2 linked regions of the Oryctolagus cuniculus genome follow. The protein of the gene in region 1 purifies or fractionates together with the protein of each later gene. This does not show direct contact. Links are inferred from orthologs where the notes say so. Each region holds a gene or a part of one and is shown in the gene's direction. Other genes may lie near its edges. The genes, in order: WRAP73 and OBI1.

Region 1 (4,373 bases):
GGGGCGGGAGCAGGTGTGGGCTCCGCGCCCCGACGCTTCGGATTCCCCACCCCAGCCTTCTCCTCTCCCAGCGGCGTCCCCACCGGCGCTGGGCCCCTCGGCGCGCCGGGAACTGGGGACCCAGGGGAAGGGTCCGCGGCCTCCGTGCGCAGGAGGGAACCTGGCGTCGGGGCGGCACTGACGGGTCCGCTCCGCCCGGGAGCGCCGGCCACGCGCTCTGCTAGGTTGGTCCAGGACGCCCCTGGGATGCGAACTTCGCGGCTGTAGCCGGCACCTTGCTCGGGCCCCTGGCGCTGCAGGCTGCTCGGCGCGGGCGAAGGTGCGCACAGGTGTCCTTGGCCAAACGTGGGACCCAACGCCCCGAGGCCCGCTCGGGATGAGGCGGACCTCCCCTGCGGCCCGCGCCCCGCCGGTAAAGCGGGAGCGTCGGGGTCCTGGCCCCCGTTCGCAGGGTCCGGGCTGCAGCACCCACGCGCGGGCCAGTGCTGAGGGGGTCTTGGCGGCGGGCCCCCGCCGTGCGCTGTCGTCTGGAGTGGGGCGGGGGGGCCGCGTTATCTGGCTCCACCGCGATGTCCCCCGCCCGCGGGAACCCGACGCCTTGGAGTTCCCGCGGGTGCGGCGTCTCCCGTGGCCTCCGCACACCGGTACCGCTCCCCTAGAGTTTGCGGGGCGCGGGTTGGGGACGGAGAAGCCAGCGATCGGGCGCACGCTCGCACCGGCTGTGTTCGTTCCGGGGAGCTGGGGACGTGCGCGGGAGGATCCCGCGGGGCCCAGCCTGCGGGGCCTGAGCGTGGCGGGGTCGGCACGACCCGCAGGCCCTACGAGGGCCAGGAGTGCGGCGGCCTCCGCCGGGTAGGGGGACCGGGTCCCGAGTGGGCGTGGGGGCGGAGGGGTGGGGACAGGGCGCGGCGCGACCGGTGGCGTCCGCGCGGGGCTCGCTCCCTCGGGGCCTTTCGCTCGGCCGCCGTCGGTGGTTCGTGCGTTACACGGGAGCGCGCGCACGATGCCCGTTCACACGCCTGCGGCCGGGCACGAGCGGCACGCTTCCGCCTCGGCCAGTGTCCGCGGCGACCCTCGGGTTCCGCGAGCACCCGGGGGCCCCGTGCAGCTTCTGCGCGCGTGCTCGCACCGCCCATGATTCCTGGCTTATCGGAAACTCCTGTCGAGCCGCGAACCCCGCGTTTGCTCTGCATCCGGGGCCGAAGCCCCGCAGCCCTCGAGTTCGGCCCCGTCGCGCGCTGCCCCTTTAAGGCTCGGCGGCGCGGGGCGCGAGGACTTCCAGCCCCACAATGCCGCGCGCGGCCGGCGCGGCCCTGATTGGCGGAGGCTCGCTTCCGCCTCCCCACTTCCGGCCGCGGCCCGCAGCGGTTGGGGCTGCGGCGGCCGCCCGAGTCCCCGCGGGCTTTCGGGCGCGGGTCGGCCCGCGCGGGCGGTGGCCATGAACTTCTCCGAGACGTTCAAACTCTCCAACCTGCTCTGCAAGTTCTCCCCGGACGGCAAGTACCTGGTGAGCGGCGCGGGGCGGCGGACCCGGGACCCCGGGGGCCAGGGCTCGGGTCCGCCAGGGCCGGGGCGGGTGCGGGACCCCGGCAGGCGCTCCGTGCAGGGGCGGGGCAGGTGCAGACCCTGGAGGTGTTCCGGGCAGTGCAGACCCTGGGGGGTGTTGTGGGCAGGGCGGGACCTGGGCAGGGGCGGGACCCGGGCAGGTGCGGGACCCCGGCTGGGGCTCTGGGCAGGGCGGGACCCGGGCAGGTGCAGGACCCTGGGGGGTGTTGTGGGCATGGGTGGGATCCAGGCAGGTGCAGGACCCTGGCTGGGGCTCTGGGGAGGGCGGGACCTGGGCAGGGGCTCTGAGCAGGTGTGGGATCCAGGCAGGTGGGTGACCCGGGCTGGGGCTCTGGACGGGGCGGGATCCAAGCAGGAGCGGGACCCGGGCAGGGGCTCTGGGCAGGGCGGGACCTGGGCTGGGGCTCTGGGTGGGGATGGTGGGGGCGACCCGGGCAGGTGCAGGACCCTGGGAGGTGTTGTGGGCTTGGGCAGGGGCTCTGGGCAGGTGCAGGCCCCGGGCGGGGGGGGGACCCGGGCTGGCGCTCTGGGCAGGGGCGGGACCTGGGCGGATGCGACTCCCTGCGCCCTGGTCTCCATCTGTCCAGAGCCGGTGTAGATGTCAGCTGGTTGTTAATTTTGCTGGCGGGAGTGAACAGTTGGGCGGGGGAGGACTCCTTCTCTCCTCGCCTGGGCTTCTCTCCCGCAGCCGCTCCCCAGGCCGAAGGGGCTGCCTGCCGGGCTGAGCTCCGAGCCGGCAGGGTGGCGCCTCGGTTGCTGAGTTCTAACACCTGCCAGTACTAAAGTGAATCTTTAAAGTCAGCCGGAGCTCCGGGGCCAGGGAGGACTCAGGCCTGGGGATTCTGTGCTGAGATGGGGGAAGAAAGACTGATACATTGTCACCTCGGGTGGGGAGGAAGTCAATGTAGCGAAGCCAGCTCCGGGGAACAGCTTTTCCTCTGCCGACTGTGAACCCCAGGCAATGGAGAGGCTCCGACCCCCCCACCATGAGCTGGAGAAAGCTCCCTACAGGTGGTCGGGGTGGAGGAGTCCCTGCTGCCTCCTGCTTCAGGTTCTTAAGGAATAGCTCCGGGAGGAGTAGGAAATGTTTCCTAAGTATTATTAAAATAGTCACACTTTATACTAAAATGTAATGATTTTAATTATTCAACTTTATCGTTTATTGACTCCTCTTGCCTTTGGGGTGGGAGCAGCACGTAGCCACGGACGTCACCTGCGCCCTGTTTCTAGGCTTCCTGTGTGCAGTACCGGTTAGTCGTCCGGGATGTGAGCTCCCTGCAGATCCTGCAGCTGTACACGTGCCTGGACCAGGTCCAGCACGTGGAGTGGTCGGCGGACTCCCTCTTCATCCTGTGCGCCATGTACAAGCGGGGGATCGTGCAGGTGTGTGGGGGGGGGCTCGTGCAGGTGGGGGGGGCTCGTGCAGGTGTGTGGGGGGGCTGGTGCAGGTTGGGGGGCGTGCAGCTGTGTGTGTGAGAGAGGGCTTGTGCAGGTGGGGGGGGTGTGCAGGTGTGTGTGGGGGGCGTGAAGCTGTGTATGTGAGGGGCTTGTGCAGGTGTGGGGGTTGTGCAGCTGTGTATGTGAGGGGCTCGTGCAGGTGGGGGGGCGTGCAGCTGTGTGTGTGAGGGGCTCGTGCAGGTGGGGGGGCGTGCAGGTGTGTGTGAGGGGCGCGTGCAGGTGTGTGCCATGTGTGTGACTGGGGAGTTGCGCAGGGGTGTGTGTGTACAGGTTGCGCAGGGGTGTGTGAGGGGCTTGTGCAGGTGTGGGGGGGCTCATGCAGGTGGGGGGGGCGTGCAGGTGTGTGCTGAGTGTGTGACTGGGGAGTTGCGCAGGGGTGTGTGTGTACGGGTTGCGCAGGGGTGTGTGTGCTCCTCGCGCTCAGAAGTGTCTCCAGGAATCCCTGGGGGAAGCCGTGTCCGCCCTTCCCGCCGGAGGAAGCCCGAGTCTCTGGAAGCCTCTTTCCTCCCAATCAGTTGTTCTCCCTCTGTGCTCACTTTAACTGAGGACACACCGTGCGATCTGAGTTTCCTAGCGAACGCGGTCAGACACGGGCGGCGGCGCGAGCCGCGGTCTGCGCGGGCCCCTGGGAGGCGGTGTTTCCTCTGCCTCCCGGAGCTAACGGCGCCGCCCTGGGAAGGCAGCGAGCGCTGCACACAGAACACCGCGGAAGCACCCGGGGGCTCGGGGCCTGCGGGGCCCCCCCACCGTCCTCCACAGGAGGCCCCGGCCCCCCGGTGCTGCTCCGAGCCCGCAGGGTGCAGGGCTGCCCTCCTGTCTCTCCGGCCGCAGGTCTGGTCCCTGGAGCAGCCGGAGTGGCACTGCAAGATTGACGAGGGCTCAGCGGGGCTGGTGGCTTCGTGCTGGAGCCCGGACGGCCGGCACATCCTCAACACTACCGAGTTCCACGTGAGTGCGAGCCTGGGCCCGGAGATGCGAGGGGGCTGCCGGGGGTCGGCGAGCCGGGCCCTGCGCCAGGAGATGCAGAGGGGGCTGCTGGGGAGACGTGGAGGGGGCTGCTGGCGGTCAGTGGGCCAGGCCCCGCGCCGGGTAGAGCAGAGGAAGATGCCAGGGGTCAGTGGGCCGGGCCTGGTGCCGGGGAGACGTGGAGGGGGCTGCTGGCGCTCAGTGGGCCGGGCCCTGTGCCAGGGAGACGTGCGGGGGCTGTCGGCGGTCAGTTGATGTGCCCGAGACCTTGGGGCGCGCGGTCGTCCAGGGCCTCGCAGGGGCGGGCGTGGAGGGTGTCAGCAGGAGGCTGCCGGCACAAGCCTGTGTATCCAAGATGGAGGAAAACGCACCGATTCCTGCCG
Region 2 (2,872 bases), on another chromosome or scaffold:
AAGATTTATTTATTTATTTGAAAGGTAGAGTTACAGAGAGGCAGTGGGGGGGGGGGGGAGAGGTCTTCCAGCCAATGGTTCACTCACCAGATGGCCGCAACAGCTGGAGCTGCACTGATCTGAAGCCAGGAGCCAGGAGCTTCTTGTAGGTCTCCCATGCAGGTGCAGGAGCCCAAGGACTTGAGCCATCTTGTACTGCCTTCCCAGGCCATAGCAGAGAGCACTCGAACTGACGCCCATGTGGGATGCTGGCACTGCAGGCAATAGCTTTACCCACTACACCACGGTGCTGGCCCCATGATTATTTTTATAATTAAGGAAAAAAAGAAGGTAAATCCAGATATAGATACTTTTTAATAGTAGTTCTCAAGCACCTTCCTGCAAATAATTCTTGAATTCTTTAAAAAAAAAAAAAACTAATTATCAGGCCGGCGCCATGGCTCAATAGGCTAATCTTCCGCCTGCGGGGCCAGCACACCGGGTTCTAGTCCCGGTCAAGGCGCTGGATTCTGTCTCGGTTGCCCCTCTTCCAATCCAGCTCTCTGCTGTGGCCCAGGAGTGCAGTGGAGGATGGCCCAAGTGCTTGGGCCCTGCACCCGCATGGGAGACCAGGAGAATCACCTGGCTCCTGGGTTCGGATCAGTGCAGTGCACTGGCCGCAGCACGCCTATCACAGCGGCCATTGGGGGTCAACCAACGGTAAAGGAAGACCTTTCTCTCTGTCTCTCTCTCTCTCTCACTGTCCACTCTGCCTCTCAAAAAAAAAAAAATTAAAAAAAAAACTAATTATCAAAAAGATGATTAGCACTTTCGGAAAGAACTTTAGGAGAGAGATGATATTTTTCATGGAGTTAGAATGTAAGGTTTATGTTTATTGGGTTATAAGAAGCAGTTTCCTGAAAGTTAGAATTTTCATTTGTGATAAGATAGAATTTAACCTAGATATTTTATGTCCTTTGGAGCTGAAACTGTCTTACTCCTCAGCTCCAACCAGATATACCATCAAACCTATACTAGGTCCTCAAAAATTACTTTCTGAATTAAACCTGGTACCTATTATTGACATAATAATAGAAAAAAGATAATGCTAGGTTAAAAGACTGAATTTTTGATACATTCTTTTTTGTCACTCTCCAAAATATTCCCTTTAAGAAAATGTAAAAATGTTTTTATTCATAGTATATTGGAAGCACAGGCACTGACTTTATTTTTCAAAGTTGAAAGAAATGAGATTGATGTCCCATACAGTTATAAAATGCTAAAAATAAGTAGAGCTGAAATAAATTAAAGCCCAGTGCTTAGAAAGGCCAAGGAAAACCTTCAGATCAAGGGAGACTATAATTGAAAGGGTCCAAATAAGTATTTAAAACCACTCTTCCTGGGACTACTAAGATTTCTGAATTTCAAATTGGCATTTTATGTTTGACAAGGTGACATTGTGTAAGAAATGTGTTGTAAAGCGCTGCTGTATGATAGGAAAATGATTGAATGTAAATATTTCAAGATGTGGACCACTGTTCAAATGTTATCATAAATCTTTGCCATTGTTTTAGGGGATAACTCTTCATGCATATTTGAGCTAACATGACAGAGCTAGCTCTTGGAAGGGAAATCATCAGTAAATTTGTTCCTCTTTGCTAAAACTGCACTGATTGAGCCACAGAAATATTATTTAAGATCTTTGCAGTTATTATCATGTACTTACTATATTACATCAGGAGGGAGACCATTTTATGAAGATACTACATCTGCCATAGCTTTTGTTCTACTCATTAAGTGTTCTGACTTCTCACTGCCATGTGTAGTTAAAAAGTTCCTGGGAAGTTTGCATTCTTAAACTTTTAAAAAAAAAGAAAAACAATTGATCTGTAAGATTAACTCTGCTTCCATTCTTTATAGGTTTGGAAGGTTTACAGTTGCTGCTCTTCAGTCCAAAGTTGAACAGTATGAACGTGAAACTAATCGGCTCAAGAAAGCCCTGGAGCGAAGTGATAAGTATATAGAGGAACTAGAATCTCAAGTCACACAACTAAAACATTCAAGTGAAGAGAAGGAAGCTATGGATTCCATTTGCCAGAGAGTACTTTCTGCAGATGGCAAGAGGATCAAGGATAGTGAAGAGGATATGGTGTCAAAGAATCAATGTGACAATGCCAGAACGCAGTCTGGCTCATCCACCTCAAGTTCTCACCTGACAAAGCCTTCCAGCAGCAGACTGTCTGACACCAGTTCTGCCAGACAAGAAAGTACCAGCAAAACAGAGCCTAATTCTTCTAAGAACAAAGACCTATATCAAAAACGGGTAGAAATAATGTTAGATGTGACAGATGCAAACATGGATGCTTATTTGGAAAGAGAATGGGGTAATAAACCAAGTGATTGTGTACCCTACAAAGATGAAGAACTTTATGATCTTCCAGCTCCTTGTACTCCTTTGTCTCTTAGTTGCCTTCAGCTTAATACTCCAGAAAATAGAGAGAGCTCTGTAGTCAAAGCAGGAAGTTCCAGAAAGCACTCAAACCATCTAAGAAAATTGGTATTTGATGATTTTTGTGATTCTACAAATGTTTGTAATAAAGATTCTTCAGAAGATGATATAAGTAGAAGTGAAAATGAAAAGAAATCAGAATGTTTTACTTCCCCAAAGACAGGATTTTGGGATTGCTGTTCTACAAGCTATGCCCAAAGCTTGGATTTTGAGAGTTCAGAAGGGAATAACATGGCAAATTCTGTTGGAGAAATATCTTCAAAACTGAGTGAGAAATCGGGCTCATGTTTATCCAAGAAGTTAAATTCTATTCGCTCTTTTGAAATCAACCGGACACGGACATCCAGTGAAGCATCAATGGATGCTGCTTATCTTGACAAAATC

Evidence for each region.
Region 2: the proteins of WRAP73 (region 1) and OBI1 purify together in Homo sapiens (affinity purification with mass spectrometry; 3 studies listed by BioGRID and IntAct, counting the BioPlex papers as one, with this or other methods). This does not show direct contact. The link is inferred for Oryctolagus cuniculus from reciprocal best matches to the Homo sapiens genes WRAP73 and OBI1.

The regions. Positions count from the first base shown.
Region 1 is NC_091438.1:162,834,012-162,838,384, forward strand, and holds the start of WRAP73 (WD repeat-containing protein WRAP73), read left to right. Parts: upstream 1-1,339; 5' UTR 1,340-1,438; coding exon 1,439-1,507; intron 1,508-2,796; coding exon 2,797-2,949; intron 2,950-3,855; coding exon 3,856-3,972; intron 3,973-4,373.
Region 2 is NC_091440.1:33,625,463-33,628,334, forward strand, and holds part of OBI1 (ORC ubiquitin ligase 1), read left to right. Parts: intron 1-1,899; coding exon 1,900-2,872. UniProt on the Homo sapiens protein: E3 ubiquitin ligase essential for DNA replication origin activation during S phase.